Drosophila melanogaster: one gene and its partners. The protein of the gene in region 3 interacts with the protein of the main gene of each other region in a pairwise test. Each region holds a gene or a part of one and is shown on either strand. Other genes may lie near its edges.

Region 1 (5,458 bases), on a different chromosome or scaffold from region 3:
GGTTGCTCCTTCAATGGAATTGATATCAAGCAGGGCTTGTGGGCGTGGCATTCCTCCAGCGAGTGAATCAGGAAAGAAAAGTACAAAAATAGACAAAAACAGGGAAGAGAGCTCACGAAAATAATAATACGAAATACGCTGACCAGAGCCAGAAGCACAGCAAATTGAAATAATTCAATTAATTTGCATTGTAAGTATAAGTACGACTGAATTGTAATCAAAGAAAATGTGGGGAGGCTGGTAAACGAGTGCGCTACAATGAAATCAGTTTAAATGAATATGCCAAGTGGCCACTCGAAGGCAATTGATGCAAGTGAATGCGCGCAAAAGCCACCGAACATTCCACAAGAGCTCTGCGGAAGGAAATAGACTGAAAATGTTCGCTGTTGATCGGCAAAACGTTTTTTCAAATTCAAATCAAATGCGCGCTCAACGGGCTAGCTGTCTGAAGCTCGCTGTTGCGGAACTCGATCTTGGCTATATCGATATCGATAAGTTATCGCAATGGTTCGCGCACGTACTAACCAATGTGTATTGTGTCTCCGCTAACTAAGGATGGTGTATTGGCTTAATGCCAATGCACACTGGAAAAAACAATCCGATCTAAATAAACTTATATATAATTAGTGGTTTGCATATTATGCCGTGCATATTCCTATTTCATCAAAGTCCCTCACAATACCTTTAAAAAATTCCTTTCTAGAGAGCGCCAAAATCTAGCCCTAACCCCATTTTGAGTTCAAGTCAGATGTACGAAAACAGCAATTCACTTTATTGCTCTCCTAGCCTAGCAAAAAAAAAGTGGGTTGAGTTAAACACAAAACGCATAGCATTTCCAGGAGGTCAAATCTGGGGCTTGTGCTCTGTATTCTCCACATCCGCGACTTCCAATCTCGTCGCACAACAATCGATATTAAGTTTAGGATACAAAAAAAAAAAGAATGGAGCTTCAGTAGTTGTCACCGGCTTGGGCGGCTGGCCCAGAACACATTTTATTCAGAACGCAACATCTTCTCCTTTTGGCGCTGCAGCTTCTTCTTGGAGAGCTTCTTCTTGGCGGGCTCGTCATCAGTGGCCTTGGAGACAAGCTCCTCCTTCTCGGTGAGGATGACCTCGACGTGGCATGGCGACGACATGTAGGGATTGATGCGACCATGGGCACGGTACGTGCGGCGACGCAGGCACTGAGCGCGGTTCACCTGAATGTGGTGGACGACCAGGCGGTCGGCATCCAGACCCTTGCAATCAGCGTTGGCCTCGGCGTTGCGCAGCAGCTGCAGCAGGAACTCGGCGGACTTCTTGGGCCAGCGACCCTGCGTGGTCTTCCACTGCTTGGCCTGGGCACAACGACCGACTCCTCCGTTGAAGCGACGGAAGGGCACGCACTCCTTCTGGTCGATGACGGCCTTCAGGTAACGCTGGGCACGGCGCAGGGGCATGCGCTTGATGGCCTGGGCGGTCTCATGTGTGTTCTGCAAAACGAGTAAATGATCGTTCATCAGTTGCTGCTGATACATAAATGCGGCGCGATCGTAAATCATAGTGATTGGAAAGTACTATATTACTTTGTGCCAAGGTTCAGGTAGAGACGCGAGCACTGAGGGCCAACACGCCGCTGTTTTACAATGGCTGGGGTTTGCTTTGGGCACAGCTTTCGATCGGTGATCTTCCATGGAGGATAACCACCTAGTTTAAAACTGTGCCCATGCAGGGGGAACATAAATCATAACTCATATCATGTAAGCTATACAGGATTGGATATGCCCATGGCATATAACTATTGGTTAAGTTATCAGCTTGAGCTGCTAGATATGTGTACATTATTTCGTTAGCTAACTGGTGATGGTGATATGAGCTTGATCTAGTGGATTCCGTGATGGATTTCATTTGGGTTTAGTTAGATCTGTGCCAGGCTACAGGTAGAGACTAGCTCATTGAAAGCAGCAGGCCGCTGTTTTAGCAAGGCTTTGGATTCGCTCTGGGCACACGTATCGTCAGCAGTTGTCCAGAATGGAGCAACCGCCTTTTTAGTTGGCATGCCGAAATACTGGATTCATTGGGATAATTGGTTGTTGGCGAGATTTTAGAAGAGGGCGTCCAGAGTTTTGGGACTTGGCACTCAGCTGATGAACTCGTCCAAATTGGAGGATTCTTCTAGCAGCAATGCAAAAGCGAGATGCTGCACAATCGGCTGGCATTCACTGATTTAAGCTGCGGACTGGTTGATGCCCAAGAAGGCCCAGGTTCCTCGGATTTCTGGGCAGGATTCTCACCTTGAAGTGCACACGTAGATTGGGCCCGCGCGCCTTGCACGACTTGGCCACGTTGTCTGACTCGCGTGAGTAACGGCCCATTTTTCAATATCTGCAAGAAACATGGGCAATTAGTAAGATATCTTAATATTTGATATGTGTAAATAACACATCCGGTCAAGATATTAGACAGCAGTTGTGGCACGCTAGCAGAAGGAATTTTAATGGATTCTTATTGATTTGTATGATTATTTAAAATTGAATTAAATTCTAGTGAGTTTCTTGAGACGCTTCAAAAAGCTTTAAAGGTTTCGAATTTGTTGTAGCAAGCTGAATCAAAATTTGGTGCTTGAATTAACCACGCTTTTATTTGCTGCTGCTGCTATTATGTTGACCGGTATTGTAAAATGCGAAAATTGCGAGATTTTCGCCAATTTCCTTCTCATTTCAGAGGGCAACCTAAATACGCTGGCGGTCGTGTGTAAATATATCAAGAATATAACCAATTGGAACACCGGTTTTTATCTAAAAACGCGGCGGCAATCAAAACACGTGCAAAATGAGCGAGAAAAAAAACTAAGCGGCTGCCTGCTCCTATGTGTGTGTGTGCGTGCGTAAGGGAGTGCGCATGTGTGTGCTCCTGTAAACAACAAAAATTCTGCACGGATTCCGAGTCGAAATCCATTGAAAACTGTCTAACTATGTGCATTTCATTGAGTTACCACTTTATTTGGATAGTTTAAATACTTTTGAGAAACAATGTTCGCGCATAGGCACACACACACACACAGACACAATGACAACACCACATGCATTTCTGGAACAATTTACACAATATTTCACAGAAAAAAAAAGATAATGCCATCAAGGCATATAATGCATTCATGCATTCGCTTGTTTTTACATGGTGCACCTTTCAGTTTTGACCCGCAGGCCCACAGTAAAAAAAATATGTAAGAAAAAAAATGAATTGGTTTGGTGTCAGCGCATTTTCTGGCCGGCCAATTCGACGTGTTGATTTCCACCAGCCAGAATTGCGCCGCAAACACCATTAACACGACCGCAAACGTACCACAGTGCCTTGGCTACAAATAAATGAGTTTGAATACGATTTAAGTGGCAATTTTCGGAAAATAACTTTCTAGGCACATGCACTCACCGGAAACGTGGAACGAAAAAGAAAGGAAATGGCAGTTCTAGTGCTGGAAATCAAGTCGAATTAGAGTGACCGACCGTCATTTGCAGAAAATGGCTAAAAATAGGCCAGTAATCCCTGGTTTTTTTTGGACGCAAACCAAATTCTGCGCCCCTGGCAAGATCTAACAGTGTTGCAAAGCGAAGCGATGGTTTAACACCCCGCTTAGCTGAGCGATGGCTTGCACCATCCAGTGCAGTGCAGCAGTTCGATAGAAAAATAAAAAATAAGCTAAGAATTGCCGAAACCCGGGATTGAACCGGGGACCTTTAGATCTTCAGTCTAACGCTCTCCCAACTGAGCTATTTCGGCACTTGGCAATTTCCTGGCGCCGAACGCGGGATTTTAAATGAAATCCCGTTCAAATTATACTAATCCTGATTTTATGGAATCGAACTAAACTGAAGCCGAGATAAGTAGAGGGCTTTCGATTAAATGGAAACTTCCCAGAGCTCTGCATAAATTACTCACTTCATTTATGAACAATAGTGGCATTCACTTGGGCCTAAATTCCCATAGCTTTAAAAATCAAATAAATTTAGTTAAATCATAAATATTTGTGCATTCTATTGGCCCACATTAAATGGTGGGAAACAGTTCGTTTATTAAGCGGCGGAGCATCCAAATTTGTGGTTTTGGCTAATGGATTCAAAAAACTGACGTCACTTAAGCCTGGGAAACTTCCAGTATTTTGCGGTTTTTCGATTATATGTAAGTATGGAAAATAACTAGCACCTGGGGGGACAATGGATTTTAATTAAGCGAACTGATAAAACCGATCGAGCCAAAATAAACCCGACTGCATTGTCCCTTTTCTGTTAGTCATTTATTAGCGCGTTCGTTCTGGACATGACCGTAAAAATGCCCGTTGCTAATCGGCTGGCGATCAAAAATAAGACTGCGGATCAAACCGGTCGAAGGAGGCGGTGCTCCACCGCTCACCACTCACCGATGGCCACTGACCAGTGACCACTCACCACTAACCATACCACTCAGCAAATCCTGCGGCAAATCCGAGTTCTTTGCTCAGTCAAACGCCAAGCAAAAAGCTGAAAACAATGCATTTATTGCTTTTTAATTGGCGCAAATTCAAAGCTCGAGTATTTTTAGTGTCCGCGTAGCCATTCAATTTATTCATGATTCACGACTAATTGCAGGTGACGCTCGATCGCTTGGTTCGCTTCCATCTCTTGAGGTCAAGTGTCGAGGAACTGGAGTGTCTGTCGCAACTGCTGCACGTGCCATGTCGTCCGTAGCTCCACGTCCATGTCGCTGCCCCAAGGATCCGGTTCCACACACACACACACACGGTGGCACTTAACTGGAGCTGCCAACCGAGGGTTTGGGCCTTGGAATGCGCGGCTCGTGGGCATTCAAGCAAGACCATAAGCAAAAGAAACAGAACACTGCTCCCAGAACGAACCAAAGACTGGCCACCACCCACTACTCACGTGCACAGAGCGAAAATGTGGCTATTTTATGTGGTATGCAGAAATATATATATACATATATACATAGATTAGCCATCACAAAATATTTCAAATCAGATTACATTATGTGGCCAAGCATTTGATATCCATGACGATCAATTCATTATTCTCTGTGCACTCGAACTTGAGCCTCCTAGAGCTGCCCAACCCACCCACTCGACGATTAGCAACACCCAACACCCAAACTGACGTCACAACGTGTTGTTCCGCTGACCAAGACCGCGTCAAATGAGCATAGAAAAAAAGTACCCGCAAGACCAAAGAAACACCTGCGAAAGCCAAAAAGCACAAAACAACGCAAACACCATGGAAACTGGTTCCGCGGGGAAGCTGAGATCTGTGGCTCGAACATCGGAGCTTGGAGCTTGGAGCTTGTAGCTCCATGAGTCAGCGGCGGATAGGCGGCTATCGTATGCACCGATTTACGGCACGCACATGTGTTTCCTTGGTAGTAATGATAGTGCGCGATGGATGGCAGGAGCACTCAGTGCACTACTACCGGCGAATAAAAAAATCCCCCG
Region 2 (6,610 bases), on a different chromosome or scaffold from region 3:
TGAGCCTATCTGGTCGAAGAAATCTAGAAAAAATAAAAGCAAAAACTGTTGCTTGACCATTAGTTGCGGCGGCTTGGAATCAAAATCCCTGGGAATTGGAGTTCTCTGAATGATTGGAGCACAAATATTTTCTGAAGGCTTCCGCAATTTAAAGCAAATTGTGGCTCTAAGCTGGAATTCAGCAAATCAAAGGCAACTAAATGTTATATGACCCATTCGCAGCCACATAAAGGTGTATGGGTAGGAAAAGCTTTGGTGACGTCGAAGTTCTATATATAGTTTTCCTACCAACTTTTTGAGTGTTCATTTATTTGGTAACCTATTTTAGGGAACAAACAGCTATTTGTCCTTAGAAATCAACATACAAAATTGAAGTTATATTTAATTCTCTTGATAACTTACTACTACTGTGATTTATGTGCAATTCTAACAGTCCATTGGAAACACTTTGTCTAATCTTTTTTATAAAATTAGAGCTAACCCTTATCTGTCGTTCATTTTCAGCAACTTTTGTTACTATCTAAGCACGTACAAATTGCAAGCACCCGAAATACAAATAACAAACTTTATTATCGATCAATTCAAACACTTTACAAGTAGCTTAGTTAGTTCCTTTGATTTCTCTATTTGGGTGGATAATGCTGGAGTATTATAATTACTGTTGGTAGTGGTGTGCGACTCATGGTTGTGTGGTTAGTGTGTAAGTAGGTATGCAGATCACTACGATGGCCAACAATCCCATGCCACATGCGTGCATTCGATCCGATCCGGGTGCATGTTTCGGATTAGTCAAGGCTGCGGGCCATGATGAGGGCCACGATGACGGTCAGGATGGAGAAGGAGTAGCGCAGGGCGCCGGCGCCACCATCGCGACATGGCCACTCGTCCACATCCGAGCTGCAATTAGAAGGTGGAACAGGCGAACGGTGTAGTCTCGCGATCTCACAGATACAATTGGTGCGACAACGGATACGGATAGGGGTATGGGTGCGGATATGGATATGGGTGTGGGTATGGCAAAGGATAGTGCTGGAGTGGATAGACAACATGATCTTGTGGCTCCCCATGGGGCACATAGTACAGTGGCTGATGGCGTGGTGTTGGTGGTGCAGGTGCAGGTACAGATGGGCCACTGGAAAACATACAATGTGAGTTTTTTGATTGAACCCTGGTTGGATCAGTAAAGTTCCGATTCCAGCGGCAGTTGTTATTCCAATATCCCCTTCTCTTCGCCGACCGACCGACCGACCGACCGACCGACCGACTAATGCTAATGATGTTAGTAAAAATGATAGGTAAAAAGGCTCTCTGTCATACCTACCCACTCGGAAAAGCAACCCCAGCAAAGCGCGAAAGTTTGTTTAGGCCATGAATATGAGGTGGTAGAACACAAGTGGTACAGAGTATGCTAATGTTTAGCTTAGATTTCGGTTAATTTTTGTTGATTTTATTACACACAAACACACACACGGCAAATCGAGTGAGTCAGTGAACTGAGACAATTAATTGAGGGAAATGTGTAAGCCAAACATGTAAGGGTGAGTGTGATTGTGGGTGGGGGAATTGGGAAAATTGGGAAAACATTTCATTAGTTACTACGCCTGGAGTTACACAACTACACATAAAGTATTCGAGCAGCATATTGATTTGGCTGACACGTTGGAAGGGATATTTACTTGATGCCAATAACACCACAGGCTGAAAGAAGGTTTAAAACAAATATTTTATTATTATTATTATTTTATTATTTTACACTGACTACTTACCAATGCGGCCGCCTGCATTGCCGGTCTTCTTGGAATCCGTGTGGTTGCCCAGACCGAGATCATCCTCCAATTCGTGGACAACAACTCCCCTGCCAATGATCCCCAGCTTGCCAGTTAAGGTGATCACCTGATCCGTGTATGTAACGTCGATAATGCCCGTGGAGTTGGCCTCCAGGTTGCCCAGATCGCCAACATGACGCACCTCGTGATCGGGGCCACCGTGATCAACCTGAGACATAAAAGTTATATTAGTGATTTAGACACCTAATCCTATAAAGAATCCCGCATCTACCTTATCGGGGTTATAGTGAGCACCCATGCTGATGCATCCATTGGTCAGATCTCCCTTCTCGTGAATGTGGAAGCCGTGCTTGCCCTCCTTCAATCCCTCCAGCTGGACGCGCACATGGACATTCTGGCCACAGTCGTTCTGCGTAAAGGTCACGTTGCCCTTGACCTGGGTATTATCCGATTGCACGGGTCCAATCAGATAGGCAATGGCTTGAATGGGCATATTGCGCTGCAAAGTAAGTTCAGTGTCCTAATTATAAGTGGATTTTCAAATTAACGAGATTATATATCTTACCGTCTGCGCAGCAGAGCAAATTGTGGCACAGAGTGCCAGGCTAACAACAAGATATTGCATCATTTTGAACTGCAAGGAAATCATAGTTAAATTAGACACGTGTACGACTCGGATAGCAAATGTTAGAAATGTTTAAATGTCTATAAATAAATAATTTTAAATTGAGTGGCACAAGCAGAGAAAATCCCACCAGGGATGATCTACTGGACATAGCTAAAAATGAACTAAATGATAATCCTGAAATTTCGATAATTGATATGGACTCAATATTAAAAACATCTTCCAAAACTATTTATATAATGCTTTATAGTAAAGCTTTAAATGATTTGGAACCAAATACTTTCAGTTTTGGGAAATGCTAGGAGGGTTTATGTCTTGTAATCTCAAATTCCGTGATGCCAACTCATCTCTGGCACTTGAATTCCAGCTCATCTCTGGCTTGGACGTCATCAGGTGTACATTCTCTTGATTCCATTTAAACGGACAGTTGTGTGCGGAATTGAAGCGCCTAGCCTCAATTTATGAAACGATTTGTGGGTCATATATGATGTGCGAACGGGTATTATTATTTATGTGTGTGAATAATGAGCGATACCCAAACGAAACTAAATGCAAACAGCCTTTTTCACAGGGTTAAGTGCGGCTGCGGGAAGGTCAATCAACAATCTCTTTTTCGTACGCACTTCGCTTCCAAAGTTCCACAAATGAAATGGATGGGTGTCACACTTTATCGGGGCAATATTTGTTTATGGGTCCGGTTTCCTTACGGTCTTATCAATGTGTCTGCGATATGCTGGCGATCTTGCACGCTCGAGTTCTGAAACGATCTTCAAACGCGGTCAGTACCTGCTCTACACACGTATCCTTATCTGCACTTGGAATCGGTCCCATAATTTACGATTCTCACGCTCGTAGAGCGACTGAATTTCGGAACTAAAAATGCCATTGTCATTACGTATAAGTATTTTAATCTGTTTTTTGCCAGGTATTTACTTATTCTGGTTCAAACTGTCACGAAATGGGTCACAAATTGCAACTAATAGCCACTGCTTGTCCATCAAATAAGGTTTATTAGGGCTCTTGCTTGCTGATTAAATATGATTGATTTGAAAATAATAACTCAGTTTGAGTTTTACCGTGAAACGATATGCTAATGAAGATGCTTATCTGAACAATTTGATCGCAGGGCTCTCTTCGTGAATTTGCAAACAATACAGCCAAGATTACTTGATTTCACACACAGAGACTTCGCGTCTAATTTAAACGCCGAAGCTATGCAGTTTTGAGATAAGAACAAGCCATAATTTTACATATATGAAAAGATAGAATATCGTAAACACTTGTTCAACCAACTGTTCACGATTGGGAATTTAAATGTTTATTGAAGTTTTAAGCCGTGGAATGTGTGGATTGTAATGGATATGTACAATATTTTGTGTCTGGTCTGTGCTGCATTTTTGCCCACTCATTTTTCTGGATTAATAACTGGTTACCTTAACCCACTCAAGGGTGAGCGGACAGTGAATGAGAGAATCAAAAATCAGTGAAGTAAACTCCGTTTTTGCGGTAACTGGTTTCTTTTTGGTAACACGCAATTGTGGGTAATATATCTAAATCAGGTTCTAAAATGTAAGCAAACCAATAAATTATGAACAATTAACAATTACAATTAACTCAAGTAACTTCAACTTCAGCTTAACCTTCACCCAATATTCTCGATTACTAGCCCTTGATCTTCTTTTTTTTCGCGTCCGTTGCAAACTCACCTTGTTAGCAACTATTTTATAATTGGGTACTGATTGTTTTTTGCGAGAATTAAGCGATTGCACCTCTGTACCGTTGGAAACCTGCGACGGAACTGTTTCGAGCCTCTGGCATTGCCATCGCAAATCGACTCGCTGAGAGAACATTGGGGCAGATTTGGCGAGAGCAAGAAGACCGCAGAATTGAGAATTGAGAGCGCCACCAGGTGGAGCGGCGGATATTGCATTTGGCGGTCAGCACGATCGCGTAGGCGAGAGTTCCGCTCTCAGGTTTATCTCGGGCTTACTTCACCGCTCTATCGCTCTATCTCCCTCGTTGAGTTTTTTTTATCAACTGCAGATTGATCAGATTCTTTTGTCCAGCTCTGATGATATATTTATTATCCTATTAACGGCCTTTTTTTTAATTATATCCAAATTATAGCTATTAAGTAATTCTTTGAACTTACTAAAAGCGCAGCTGAAACACGCTAACGTGCTTTTCATTTGAATACCTTATCACTGTGGCGTCATAAAATATGTGCCAGGCTCGTGCCTACAATGGAGGTCGTAAATATTGGCATGCTTTCCAGATACGGCGAAGCAATTTGAAGAACTACTGCTACAAATTCTTTGAAAATGAGTTGCCAGGTAATAGCTTCTGATATGCCAACCGATGCCATGAAATTGTAGTTACATCACATTTATAGCAGGCCGGGATCGAATTTTTTAAATAAATAACGCATTTAAGTAGGTGAAAATATTCGTGTATTCACATTTGTAAATTGTGCTAATAAAATCATCGTACATACAAAAACTCTTAATTATTGATTCTCTCAATACTAAATGTTGATAGCCAAGCCCTACTTATACAAGATATAGAATGTAAGTACATACTACTGCTACTACATAATAAGAAACTTTCCACTTGGGAGCTGGTTAAAATTATATTGCCTACTGTAATTTTGCACATGTCCGCCTGTTTTTTGGGTTTAACCGCCGGTTAGGATCGGTCGAGGATTAAGCTACTTCGATTAACAATTAGTTTTGGTTGGATTGGGATCGGGTTTCTAGATGAGCTTGTGCCTGCCGAGGGAAGCCGTGTGCATGGGACTGCAGTTCTCGATGAGCATGGTCTGGCCCTCTCCAGTCGGTGATTCTCCACCTTTGTTGTTGTTGTTGTTGTTGTGGTGGACCCTCTTCATGGGCCGCTTTCGTTCGATATCCGCACAGGGGTGCAGCTCCACGGTCTGCAGACTTTGGGCTCGTTGCAGCGATAGCCGGAGGGGTTTCTTGGGCGGAGTGGGTCTAGTGGTACGCGTCTCAGTCGCAGGCTTCGATTCGTTTTCGCTATCGAAATCCAGGGATTTTACACTCCTCATATCGCTGGGCAGGCGGGCTCGAAGTGTGTTCGACTCACTTTGTCGGGGCGTGTCTCGGCGACGATCCAGTCTGGAATGGCGAAGAAGATCGGGGAGATTAGTCAGGAAAATTTAAATCTATGAAAAAGCCTGTCTTTGCTAGAACATCTACACAAGAATCTCGAAGAATCGCGAATAACCTACCCATTGTAATGATTCAGGTGCTCTACACTGCGTGCGTGCGTGCTCATGAGATGTTCGCGATGCAGTTGCTGCTGTTGCTGGAGAGGATCTCTGGGGCGTTCCCGGTGCTGGCGATCGCGATGGCGCTCCTTATCACGTCGATGGTGCTGCATATAGGCAGAATCGCTATTAATCGAGATCTTCGAGGCGGACAGCGATTTGGAGGGCATGGAGTACATGTGCGACAGACGATCTCTCAAATCGATGTGGGTATTCTCCTTGATCAGTGTTTTGGTTACATGTCCGGGAGGGGTTTGTGTCGAGGCCATGTCGTCACCCATCAGCTCGATGGGTTTGCCCCCCACCAAAGTGGTAATATAGTTGCCCCGCTGAAAGATCAACGGTTTCTCGGGCGGTGTTGATGGAGGTGATGATATGCTGATGCTGGTCACATGCTGAGATTGATTGGAGGATGTCTGCTGTGGATTTTGCTGTGGATTTTGCTGTGGATTTTGCTGTTGCTGCTGCTGCTGCTGCTGCTGTTGCGATGGATGATGCTCCTTGACTGTCTGCAGTTCTCGCACCTGCTCTTCCAGGTACGATATGCGATGCTGCAGCCTCATGTTGTTCTCCTTCTCCTGGTCTAGTTGCTTTTGTGGTATAGGTACGGACTTCTTGCGGAGTACAACCATCTGACACTTGCCAGAGTTTCCTACTTGCTTCTGCAGCTCTTCCTTGGATTTTCCGGTTACCAGTCGTCCGTTGATCTCCAAAATGCGATCGCCCTTGTACAAGCCATCACCCTCTAAAGCCCATTCTACGTAGAAACCCGGCTGGTCTGTCCTCTGTTGAACTGCCCATCTTCCCGAGGTGGCATGCACGGCGTGCAGACTCAGGGAGACTCCAGAGCTGATGATGTTGTAGAGGGTCTGCGCCTCGGGCTTGGACTTTTCCAGACGTGCCTGCAAGGCG
Region 3 (5,794 bases):
TTCATGTCAGCGGGTTAACAATGGATGACACCGAAGAGTAGTCCATGGAGGAGGAGGTGGATGTGGAGGCGGAGCAGCCAGTTAAGAGCTTTCGGCCAGGTGAGAGAAGTGCTCATCTCTGGCTGGGATACCTTTTTCCAGCTTTCCACTTCTATGGAGCTCTAAACTATATGTAACTATAGTCTCGAGATATTTTATTCTATTAATATTCTTTCTCTAAGATAAATATCAGTTTTTATTTCTCATATATGTAATAATAAATATATTTATAATAAATAATAAATAATAATAATAAATATATTTATTATTAAGGTATACAACCCTTAAATTAAAATTTAATTTAGATGGGATTTCATAAAATAGATTTATAGAAAATGAAAAGAATATTATAAAATAGATATTAAAAGAAAAACGTTGTCTTTTTAGGAACTATGAATCTTATATCTTTTTAATTTAATAATTTTAAAATTGGTAGAGCACTTCTGAAATTAGGTTATCACTTTTAAGTACTATTATTCTAATATCTTTTAAATACAATTAAATATTTTTATTCGTTAACACAAACCCCATAACCCCCCAATGTCCTTAGAGAAGCTGAGATATTTTTGCCCAGGAACAGGGCAGCACATCCCCAAGCAGACCCAACCATCACCGCGATCACTCGAATGCCATCCTAATGCGCCCATTTTAGGGCTTTAACCTAATAATGACGTTCGACTTAGTTTGCGTGACTTATTTTATTAATAAAACGAGCAAATTTGTCTTGCTTTTTGGTCGCATCGTCGTCATATGCTTTTTCTCTCTCGGCGATGTCTCGTTATTGTCCTTCCTTCCTGCTCTGTTTGTGGAGACCCCCCCCCCCCATATTTCCCTCTCTCTGAAGGAATTAAGGACTTTCCGCTGTGAGGAAAGACTGATTCTCAAAGCAACAGGACGAAACAGGACGAGTATAGTTGCGAAAGCAACCCCTCGGCGAGCTCTTCGCCGATTGGTGGCTTGCTGGAAAGGAGGCACGCCCCCTTTTTCGATGGTGTCACTTGGTTGGGTGCGGAGGGGGCCGGGTGTCCTTGGTGGGTGGTGTACGGCTATGTGGGGCTCTGATTCAATTAACCGCGCGGGGAAAAAATATCTGAATGCAAAGCAGGCGAATGCTTGGCCCCAACCCAGCGGGTACAGTTGCGCTGGCTCCACCTAGCAATTATCCTGTCACAGCAGCAGAATCGATTGTTTAATTCAATTATAATAATTGTGGCATTTAATGCACGCACATCATCAGCCAGACAGCCAACAATGGCGGCCGTGACACGTTAATTATGACAAGTGGGTGCCAAATGGGCGGCTGGGGACGTGGCAGGATGTGCCTGCCTCGCAAAATGGCGGCAGAGCAAGGACGCATAGTTGTGCAACTTATTTGCGGCTAACGGGGGTCAATTAAACTAAGGTTTTTCCGCACTAATCGCATGTCCAGTGGATGCCAGCAGAGAGATGGGTGCTCAAAATCCTGCCAGAGCAGGACAACCCTATGCGCATGCAAATCGAGGGGTGTGTTCATGTGCCCGCTTACGGGGATTCCCCGAATATTGCCGCTCTAAGCGGGCACCGCAAAGCGGGCCAACTGCAGCCGGATTGAGGAGGGGGTGGCACTGCCTGCGCTCGCATTTTTTCCCCCCCTTCGATTTTCCCCTTTTCGCAGGATGCAGGACCATATCGCCGGCTCGCTCGCACATGTCTGCTGGCAGCTCGTTTAGAGCAATTTGCTGGTTGATGTGCGGTGATTGCCGCAAACTCAACGCGACCGTCAACGAGCAAACAACATAAGCGCGCGCGCGGTCCAAGGACACGTATATATCCCGGCTGGCTGGCACATCTCCTGGCTCCGGTCTCCATCACTGCTCCTCGTGCTCCTCCTGCTCGGCCATCCTCCAGCGCAATGGCAATGCTTAATGAGGCCAGCTTGAGTCCTGCGGACGCACATGCTCATGCCAACGCCACCACGCCCACGCACAGCAAGGCGGCGGCGATGGCCAGTGCCACCACAATGCTGACCACAAAAACGCCGTTTTCCATCGAGCACATATTGTTTCAAAACTTAAATAGTGCCAGCAATAACAATAATAGTAGTGATACCAACGGCATCGCCGCAAACACCAACAACTACGCGCCAAAGAGCAGCAGAAACGCGGTGAAAAGTGCCAGAAGCGCATTTGCCCACGACAATAATCCGCACAAACATCCGTCGCAACATTCGCATCCGCCGCAGTCACATCCGCCGGCGTCCGCATCCGCATCCGCGACGGCTACTGCCCGCAGCAACCAGGCTGCGTCGGGTTACGCTGGCGAGGATTACGGCAAGTCCATGCACAGCACTCCACGGTTGGTTTCCGAATTCCAAGGCCTAATACTACTGCAGTGAAATTTTAGTTTAAAAAACTTTAATTTTAAGCCAATATAATTGCATAGAAAAGTGAAAAAAAGTAATTAAAATAAAAAAAAAATAAATAAAAAATAAGATAATATTAACAAAGTGAATTTATAAAAGAATAAGAAGTAAACATGAAACATCAAATACGATAGATAGTCACACCTTCTTGAAGACAAATATTTTGGAATAGCATACACCTTTAAAATCTTACTTTGGATTATGTTCTTTTAAATTATAGAATATTTTTTGTAAGAAAAATGATATTTTGGAAACATAGAAATCAGGCTTACCATAAAGCTTAATGTATCTGGGAATATATATTTGTATTTAAGCATATTAGCATAAAAATCACTATTGGACATAAAGAGAATAGTTTAACATCGAAATACCAATAGACCCCTAATTGAACCACTTGCTTCGTAGGTCCAACCACCACTCGCGACACGGAACTTCCCACTACAACGGAGATCAGATTTCGCAGCAGTTGGGATCTGGAGCAGCACAACATCCGCCGGTGCCCACGACTCAACCTCAACCTCCGCCTCCGCCGCCCCTGAATGGAGGTAGTGGTGCATCCAATGGAGTACTCTATCCGAATGCACCCTACACCGATCACGGATTTCTTCAAATGACCCTCGGATATCTCTCGCCGTCGTCGGGCACCTACAAGTCCGTGGATCCCTATTTTCTATCACAAGGTGAGTTAATGCTCGATATTACAGAGATATCCTCCTAGATGATTCTGATTTGTACTGGTACATACAAACATGTTGGTAATAAGTTAAAGTCGAACTCATAGAAATTAAAAGTCAATTCTAGCTAGAGTTTAGCTAATCGAAAATGAAGTTGGACATATTCTCATTAAAAAGCCAGCACAACATTTAATTTCACATTTAGAACTTTTTCAAAATGAAACCCAAATTAGTAGGACAACTGATGTTGAAGTGCAGTTTTTTGTTGCCACATAGCTTCATTTAGGGGCACTAAAACTCGAAATATTCGGTGTAAATGGCCATCAACACCGAAAGTTTTCATTTGTTCCAACTATAACGAAGTTAACCAAATTTTGCATCCTTTGCCCTTTCAGCCAGCCTGTTCGGGGGAGCGCCCTTCTTCGGAGCGCCTGGCTGTGTGCCGGAACTGGCCCTCGGACTGGGAATGGGCGTGAATGCCCTGCGCCACTGCCGCCGGAGGAAGGCTCGCACGGTGTTCAGTGATCCGCAGCTGTCCGGTCTGGAAAAGCGGTTCGAGGGACAGCGATACCTGTCCACGCCGGAGCGTGTGGAGCTGGCCACCGCCTTGGGACTCAGCGAGACGCAGGTGAAGACCTGGTTCCAGAACCGCCGCATGAAGCACAAAAAGCAGCTGCGCCGGCGCGACAATGCCAATGGTGAGTATATTGATTTCATAATCACAAATTTATTATGAGCAAATTAAATATTACGAAATTTATAATACTCAAATCAAGTTATTTAATATTCAAACCTTTTCTGGGCTGTTAAGAACAACTAGAGCGAAAAAGAGTTGCTCAAGTTTTCCAGCTTTTAGACAATGCAATATTTGAGTTAGCAATTAAATTGTCAAAAGGCATTTCGAGCAGGAGTGGTCAGCGGTTTTCAAATTGGTCACAAAGCACCAAAAACTAGACCACTGGAGTGAGTAGTTTCTTTGAGGAACTTTTGGACTATCAATTAGACCTTTTGGCTTTTAGCCGGCTCCTTGTGATGCAAAAAGTTTTGCTCAAGTTTCAACGCAAATCAAATTAGTTCTAAATTTTGTGGAAATTTCTTTGACTCTTCCATGCCGCAGAGCCCGTCGACTTCTCACGCAGCGAACCGGGCAAGCAGCCGGGCGAGGCCACCTCCTCATCCGGGGACTCCAAGCACGGCAAACTGAATCCCGGATCTGTCGGCGGCACACCCACTCAGCCGACGAGCGAGCAGCAGCTGCAGATGTGCCTGATGCAGCAGGGTTACTCCACGGATGACTACTCCGATCTGGAGGCGGACAGTGGCGACGAGGACAACTCCAGCGACGTGGACATCGTCGGCGATGCGAAACTCTACCAGTTAACATAGACAGTTCGATCGGGATGTGGACCTGGATCCTAAAGTAGTAAAGTTTTCGGTGTTTCAGTTGGGGGAAATACAACTAAAAGAGATTTTCAAATCAAAAAATATCAGTTTCTTTTACTAAATGACTTTTCTATTAGACAAGCACAGAAGTTACAAAACAACACATATATTATCAGCGCGAGCATGGTTATACCATTTTGAAAATATCTATTATTACGATTTAGTACGAACTATAGTTCCTTATAATTGTGGAAACTTACCCATCAGTTTCACCATTGAATTAATTGATTGATTATAACAGATACCATCCAGCTACTCTAGCTGTTTTGATCTTGTCCAAAAGAAACATATTTATTTTGCTATAATTATAGTTGTATTTCCCCCCAGATACATATTTGAATTGAATCGAAAAGCCGTGTAAATACCAACGAGTTCTTGAACGAGTTTTCTAGTCATGTATTAAGTCTAATAACTAATCAAATTTAGTGATTGTATTCGAGAACTTCCATTTTAAGATACATTAGTTCCCTGCGACTTCTTATCCAGAACATAGTGCTTACAATAAACGGAACGGAGCGAATTACGCGAATGCTGGAGAAGTGTTACTGGGTGGGTGGGTGGTGTAGCTTGATGCCCGCCCCCTCGCCGGGCAATCAAATCCAATTGACAACACAAAGTAGCAACTAATATGGTTAAGCAGCGGGAATACTGATGTATGGGGTTGGCGACTGCCACGCCCTGCGCATGTCCTGCCGCCCAAGTGGGCGGGCGGAAGCGGGTGGGATTGGATTGAATCGGGGTGGATGGAAATGCACTTAACAATGGCAAAATAATTGCGGGTTTTCAGACAGCCATTTTAGTGAGACACCCATTGTCAAGTGCGGAATAGAGTGAGGAGGTAAAAGTTAAATGTTTCAAATTGATTGGTAATTACGGGTTAGCAGGAATGCTCTCGAAAAAATATTAATAGTTTACCCGATTAAGAATGAGTCTTGGAGGGAATGGAGTTCCATATGCTTATATACATGTAGATACCTTTGCAGTCATCAAAACTCATGGATCTATTTGTTGAGAGAAGTTATCATTTTTAGTTTCATACTTTGGACTGTTAAGACTTTTCTTGACGTCAACGAAGCATATTCCAATTCTATTCTGGCGATTAAATGGCATATGTACATATGCTTGTTAATAATATGTATTTTTTTATATAAATTTCGAGTGTGTATTGAGTTATGCTCAACTTGGTAAACATGCGAATTAATAATATTCGGAATAATATACAACCTAAGGTCGAAGC
Region 4 (6,748 bases), about 20 Mb from region 3:
TGCGTTAAAGCGCTCTATAAAACAGGCCCAGGAGCAACAGCTTCAGCTGAAGCGAGGCAATCATGAAGAACCTGTGAAGCAACTTGCCGATTCCACAACCAAGCTAAGTGCAGCAGAATCGGCAGATGAGCATAAAAAAGCAATTGCCGAGCGGGAGCTGGCCCTGCTGAATCGTGGATTTAAAGCAGGAGAAGAAAACACGATTTCCCTAAAAGAGTGAGTTGTAGATTTATTGATACGGACTTTATTTAAAATGTTTACCGTATTTTTTAGTGATAAGTGGGAGCGAACTGATGTTAGTTCTTCATCATCAAGAAACCGCCGAGGACGTAAATCAAAGATTGATTCCAACGTCGAGGATTTTGGCGATGAAGAAAAAAAAGACTCTAGATGGGATGAAGACGATGACTTGCCGTTAAAGGCAGATACGGAAAAACCTTCAGAACGGAACAGCACCAACGCCCGACCGACCCGTACTAGCAAAACGTTATCAAAGTATTATAAAGGACCAACTTCTAAATCACATCATAGCATGGGTACGCGCTCGACACGACAGCGCTGAGATATGCTTTATATCCTTCATATAAAATATGTGGTTTTATTTTGGAAAATATTAAATACCTATTTTACGTCCCTCTAAGATGCACATGTAATTGTGTACAATGTATACTCCCATTTAAAAACTAGTATAGTTGTATTAACTTTATTAAAAGCAATGGCTGGAGTCTACACACGAAAATAAGTCAAGAATAGTACAACTATTTAAAGAATAACACGATTTGGTTGAAAAAATTTCCTTACGTATGTAAATCGATTAATTATTCAGCGCTTAAGTTTTCTTTTGGGTTAAGTTTTGAACATATAATGTACCTTCTGGTGTATGTTAACATAAAATCCAGAATATGCCTTTAGACAGCAGAACGGAAGATATTTATTTGGTTTACAGTCTTGAATCTAAGCTGTATTTTTGTAGTTTTAATTAAACTTTTGTTTTTAATAATAACGGTACCGAAAAATAATTTTAAATAATGTAAATAAATAATGATGCTGAAAATTTAACAATTGCAACGTCTTTTCTAAACATCATCTTAATTGATAGTTCACAAACTTATTTAAGTTCAAAAGCAGAAAGAATGTAAGCTTCGACAGGTCATTTCGATCATTAATAACAATTTGATATACACCACTTTTGTATATGTTTCGGTAATGATAAAATCGGTTGTGATATATCTGCTTTAGAAACAGCAGGAAAATGAATGAAAACAGCTAATAGGCAATTGCCTTAAAAACTTGCACATACGAATGTAAATATGTATGTACATATGTACATCAATCTCTTTTTACAAAGCACACAGCGCGAGGTCTAATGGCTGATTCAGACAATGATAATGTGCAAAACAAAATATCAGTTTGAAAAGCTTCGCGACGTGTGGCGGTTGTTGAAATCGAGCAAGTCAAAATATGTACACATGTAGGTTTATGTGAACGCCCCAGTGATTCTAAGAATGAAGAACATATACTTGTTCAATAAAATATTGTTTTTATTTAATTATTAGCATCAAACTTTTAACGTTAAAAAAGGTCTTCTTAGCGATTGGTAACATATTATTTTTCAGCTATCTAATGAACAATAGCAACGTTTTCAACTGTTCCGAGATCAATTTATTTCCATCATACAAATGACTTGCTGCTGTGGAAAGCAAAAACGAAGCCAGGATGAAACCTATCAGAGGTTTAAAAATGAGGATGTAAGTTTGTCGATACTAATTGCTTTGCATCGTCAACTTTATGGTACATTAATAGCCAAAAAGAACTACCACCGCTATCGAATACGACAGACAACGCCTGTACTAATACATATGAATGAAGAATATACATACTAGAAAAGTTTCTTAATGTAGATACATATGTATAGGCGCACCTACGCATGACTAAATTTGTATGTGTAGACAAACAATGTTATCAGAATGCAAAAGCTACATATCTCGGGGTTGATAAAAAGTATTGAGCTATAGGTGGCCTCGGTCAGGCCGGCATAAAATCAAATTCCAAACAGTCCGCTCACAAACCGCTGCTAAAGGCACACGTATTTTGGCTTTCAGATGCATACATACATACATGTGTATGTATATATGTATTCAGCCAAAAAAAATCTCGTACATTAAAGCGCGCTGAATTGCACCAAAAGAGCGAGAGAGCGTATAAGCTCCGTGCTCAAAACCGCATTTGCATCGGGTAAAATCGGTAACCCCATCTTTGCATAGTCAGTATGACGGCAATAATACTCCTGGCTTGCCACTCGGTTCGCGAACTCGTCGATCTGTCAGATGCTCTGTGGCAGAACACTTTTAATATCGAACGAAGTTTAAACTATTATCGCATCAAGCGCCGTTTGGAACTGTTTCGATTTCATTGCCGCGAGCTTTGGTTGCGTCAGGTGTCAAAAACATCCGATCCAATGCATCGGAAGGCAGGCATAGATTTTGCAGCCATTGAGGCGGGTGCAGACTGTGTCCTAAATATGGATGCCTTTGACGATACGACAACGGAACTACACAAGAGGTTTTTACAGGCGGAGGGCACAAGACCCTTTCCTTCGGATTGCATCAGCGGCATCGAGGTGGTGGATGGAAATGAATTTAAAGTGCGTAATCGGGATACTATAGCGCAAATACTGAGTGGTTTAGTGATAGTGCTTAAAGTGTAAACATGTGTTTGTACGCATCACGTACAAATGTTTTTCTCTTTTTTCGTCTTTGTTTTGACATTTAGCGTACTCCGCAGTAATTCCCCTATTCGCGTTGTGGGGGAGCTTTTAATAGCTGTTCGCACAGTCGCGGTCGGACAGGGTGGTTTCTTTAGCGCTGACACCAATTTAAAAAAACTCCACACTGACGCCAATATACACAATGGCGCCACTGTTGTTTTAATTAAGTTCAGGCACTTCACTATGTAGTTTAAATGAGTTGTGTATAATGGCGCCACTGCGATTTTAAAGCAGGATTGGTGTCGCCAGTGCAATGTGTTTTTAAAGCTTTTGTGTATCAAAGCGATAGTTTTCCAAAAGCTGTTTATAGAACTCGTTGATCTGTCAGATGTTCTGTGGCAGAATACCTACAAAATCGAGCGAAGTTTAACTGTTTGGATTTTATTGCCGCGAGCGTCAGCCCTCAAGGCATCGGAAGGCACACATTGATTTTGCAGCTATTGAGGCGAGTGTATACTGTGACCGAAATATGGATGCCTTGGACGGTACGACAATGGAACTGCACAACAGTTTTCTACAGGTGGAGAGCACAACACACTTTCCTTTGGATTGCATCAGCGACATCGAGGTGGTGGATGGAAATGAATTAAAAGTGCGTAATCGGATAAATTGAGCGCAATTGCTGTGGCTTAGCGGTTGTGCTTATATACGTACATGCGTGCGTTTGTCACATCATGTACAATTGCTCTTCTCTTTTTCATCTTTGTCTTGGCTTTTAGCGTACTCCGCAGTAATTCCCCCATTCGCGTGCTGGGGGAGCTCGAAACAACTGTTTGACATAGTCGTGGTCTGACAAGGTGGGTGGCTTTAGCACTTAGTCAAGTCTGAACCCTAGCCACTCTTCATAATTATTTAAAGCGATAAGCTCTCAACACAAGTCAATTCAGGAGCTTACTCGCCATTTATTTGCACATCTGTTAAGGGTGTATACATACATACATATATCGTCGTTTTTATATGTCGAGTTCAAAGAGCTTTTGGCGTTGTCATAGCGGCGTAGCTTCAATTCTCTTCAAGCGTGTAACTCGCGAAAAGGGAGACAATAATAACAGCTAAATATCTGGCAACCAAACCATTTTGTTAAATAACATTAAAATCCTTTGAGCTCCTGAAGGCTGAAAAGAACGTTTTAGGGCAGAATATATTCATCAACAGCGAATTCTAAGGAACTAAAAGTATATTATTTACATGCGCAGTATTTAAGTTACAGTGACTTTTCGATTTTCAATGTGCGGTAGCGAGCAAGTACGATGTTGATTCATTCCTTAATGTCTAAAAACAAATACATTTCGATAAGCGATTCATAAAGAGTTCTGTGGTTAAAAAAGTACATCCCTTGAATTAGACGAATATTTAATTTTTTAGTTCTGGCTATTCAGATTTCCAAATCAGAACGTAAAATGTGTCTTAGGGTTTTGTATGAAAAAATGATGTGCTGTTGTCCCAAGCTGAAAAAGGGAGGTTTGAATGAGGTAAGCAAGCATTGAACATATTGACGGAAGAATTTATAACTAAAAATGTACAAAAGAGTAAAATGATAGCTTACATCTGTAAGCAACTAGTATTTTGATTGTCCTTTGGAAATGACTTATAGTCTTATCGTTTGTGCAAACGATAAACAAATTAAGTTAATCTTAAATTTTCTTTATATATGGAATGGCTGACAAGGCTACTTTCCAATTTGGCTATATTTTAATCCGAACACTGCCTTTTACGATAAACCTTGAACTGGAGGGGTGAAAGACTGTTTTAAGAGTAATTAAAAGTTTTTAAAAGTTCTGCTTATTAAATTCCCATTCTAGGCCTCATTTTACGAATATGCAGATGCTGTGCCAAAATATTTTAACGACCAAATAGGGAAATTGAGCGAAGGGATAAGTTTCACGGTGACTGGGAATCTCTCTGTAAACTGCGAGAGGTATGTTAAGTGGCCAAGTTTACGTGATTAATTTTTAAACTGTTCCTCGTCCTTTTTAGGTTTTCCATCAATCTGGTTTATAACAATGACTCTCGAGATGTGGCGCTCCACATTAATCCACGGTTGCCACAAAACTATATTGTCCGCAACACCAAAGTACAGGACATTTGGGGAAACGAGGAAGTGTCCTCGGCATTGCCGTTTCTACTAAGTCGAGGCGAGGAGTTTTCCATTCAAGTGCTAGTTACTGAGGCATGCTATATGATATCGGTAAACGGACAACACTTTGCAGCGTACACTCATCGAATCCCTTATAGGGATGTTCGCATTCTGGAAGTGAAGGGAGATGTAAGTAACGTGGAAATGAAGCGAACTTTGGTCTTAAAATATCCTGAGCGATTACCCCAGTCAGAGGCTAATAACATTGAGCTTCACATAGATGATGGGATTAATGAAATTGATGCCAGCGTTGAGGAGACTGTTAAAATACCTCATGAGTGGTGCATTATTAGCGCCCCGAACACACAGTCGGACAGTTCGCCTAAGCGTAACAATAGTTCGAATGATCTTGGCCTTACTTTGCCTTATTATGGAGCATTGCCACCAAATTCGTTGGTCGATGGTCGATGCTTGAAGATTGAAGGGAGAGTGCGATTACTTCCCCACTCGTTTTATATAAACCTGCAACAGGGGCAGGACATATGGCCACATCCAGTAATTGCATTCCACTTAAACCCACGTTTTTCGAAAGCAAGCAGCGGCGCTATTGGAAAGGCGGTGGTGTGTAGGAATGCCTGGCTTAATGGAGCTTGGGCACAAGAAGAGCGTTCGGAGTTTGACACAAACTTTCGCCCTGGTCGGTCTTTTTGTTTAGCCATTGTTTGTACCAAAACATCCTTTGAGGTGTATGTCAATCGGCAGTTTATGACTGATTTTAAATATAAGGTTAGCCCTGAGGTGGTGGACACTGTCTACATACAAGGAGATGTTAAACTTTGGAATGTAACGCTGGAAAAAAATCAGATGATTAAAGGCAAAAATATGCGAGTCTATCAGAATCCGTGGTTCTTTAGTGAGTAGTAGCTGTTCATGTTTTTATTTTTTAGTAGTTTAGCGACAATAAAAAAGTGATACGCTCGTGTTTCATTATACAATATTTTTGTTAATAAATAAAATTATGGTAACGTCATCCGATTTTTATTATTCTTCCCTACACATGTGTATTTATATAATTGAACGCATAGTCGCTATATGGGTATTTATTGAGTAAAAAATAGCTTTCAATGTTTCTGGTAATGTCGTTTTCTTTTTTAATGTCAAACTCTGGGTATTTATTCAAATGTTATAAATATTTTAATCTCCCTTGTATAACAACAATTTTGAAGTTTCTTTCCCTACTACTGCCGTATAAAATGGAGAGCAAGTGTATGAGCGTGTATCCTGGAGCGTGCACTGTAGCTCTAAGGCGAGTTATGGATGCGATGTCGTTGTTCTATGAAAAGCGTTCAGAAGCCCATCGACGCAAACATTTTAAAGTGATCCAATGTCCAAGGCCAGGACTTTGTTTCGTCTTCCACGGAATGATCCTAATGGCATGTGAGCATTTTGTTATTGATTTTCTCACCAAGCAGGGAAGTGAAATATGCGAGGAGTGCGATGTCCTACTGCAAATAGGATCACGACTTCCTCAAAATTATATAACGCGTAATTCTCGTCTTAAGGGAAAATGGGGACCCGAGGAAAATTCTTCATATTTAACCTTCCAGCTGAACCGGGGAAAGTCTTTTTGGATGCAAATATTGCTTACTGAGGAGTGCTTCTTTATTTCTGTCAACGGCTATCATTTTGCGAAATATTTTCACCGTATGCCTTATCGGTGGTTGGAAGCTGTGGATGTACTCGGAGATGTCTCCGACATCGTTATCGATACATACTATGTTTCCGAGTATCCTATACGCCTAACACACTCATTGCCTCGACCCATTCCACATTCAAACAAACTTCCCCGAGATGGAGAGAACGTGGAAACTGAATGGATGGTTTTATCTTCTCTGGCAAAGATG

Evidence for each region.
Region 1: the proteins of bsh (region 3) and RpL17 interact in a two-hybrid assay, tested with the Drosophila melanogaster proteins (one large-scale study listed by BioGRID).
Region 2: the proteins of bsh (region 3) and Sod3 interact in a two-hybrid assay, tested with the Drosophila melanogaster proteins (one large-scale study listed by BioGRID).
Region 4: the proteins of bsh (region 3) and galectin interact in a two-hybrid assay, tested with the Drosophila melanogaster proteins (one large-scale study listed by BioGRID).

Annotation. Positions count from the first base shown.
Region 1 is NC_004354.4:6,740,785-6,746,242, forward strand, and holds RpL17 (ribosomal protein L17), read right to left. Parts: upstream 3,455-5,458; 5' UTR 3,325-3,454; exon of another isoform or gene 3,166-3,324; intron 3,032-3,165; exon of another isoform or gene 2,891-3,031; intron 2,384-2,890; exon of another isoform or gene 2,365-2,383; 5' UTR 2,355-2,364; coding exon 2,274-2,354; intron 2,218-2,273; exon of another isoform or gene 2,068-2,217; intron 2,043-2,067; exon of another isoform or gene 1,902-2,042; intron 1,708-1,901; exon of another isoform or gene 1,565-1,707; intron 1,473-1,564; coding exon 993-1,472; 3' UTR 753-992; downstream 1-752.
Region 2 is NT_033778.4:11,379,897-11,386,506, forward strand, and holds Sod3 (superoxide dismutase 3), read right to left. Parts: upstream 4,219-6,610; 5' UTR 4,119-4,218; intron 3,180-4,118; exon of another isoform or gene 3,036-3,179; intron 2,422-3,035; 5' UTR 2,416-2,421; coding exon 2,353-2,415; intron 2,287-2,352; coding exon 2,059-2,286; intron 1,996-2,058; coding exon 1,767-1,995; intron 1,699-1,766; coding exon 1,677-1,698; coding exon of another isoform or gene 1,673-1,676; exon of another isoform or gene 1,133-1,672; coding exon 943-1,132; 3' UTR 898-942; coding exon of another isoform or gene 786-897; 3' UTR 553-785; downstream 1-552. Other genes in the region: sprt (sprite), read right to left, coding at 5,165-5,546, 5,660-6,610. UniProt on the Drosophila melanogaster protein: Protects the extracellular space from the toxic effects of reactive oxygen intermediates by converting superoxide radicals into hydrogen peroxide and oxygen.
Region 3 is NT_033779.5:19,765,066-19,770,859, reverse strand, and holds bsh (brain-specific homeobox), read left to right. Parts: upstream 1-1,792; 5' UTR 1,793-1,930; coding exon 1,931-2,373; intron 2,374-2,845; coding exon 2,846-3,120; intron 3,121-3,509; coding exon 3,510-3,812; intron 3,813-4,231; coding exon 4,232-4,500; 3' UTR 4,501-5,084; downstream 5,085-5,794. UniProt on the Drosophila melanogaster protein: DNA binding protein that function as transcriptional activator. May play a role in the determination and function of cell types in the brain.
Region 4 is NT_033779.5:70,334-77,081, forward strand, and holds galectin (galectin), read left to right. Parts: upstream 1-2,053; 5' UTR 2,054-2,269; coding exon 2,270-2,644; exon of another isoform or gene 2,645-3,236; coding exon of another isoform or gene 3,237-3,359; exon of another isoform or gene 3,360-3,564; intron 3,565-3,795; exon of another isoform or gene 3,796-4,167; coding exon of another isoform or gene 4,168-4,239; intron 4,240-4,569; coding exon 4,570-4,685; intron 4,686-4,744; coding exon 4,745-5,765; 3' UTR 5,766-5,878; downstream 5,879-6,748. Other genes in the region: dbr (debra), read left to right, coding at 1-216, 274-562; CG11374 (uncharacterized protein), read left to right, coding at 6,113-6,748.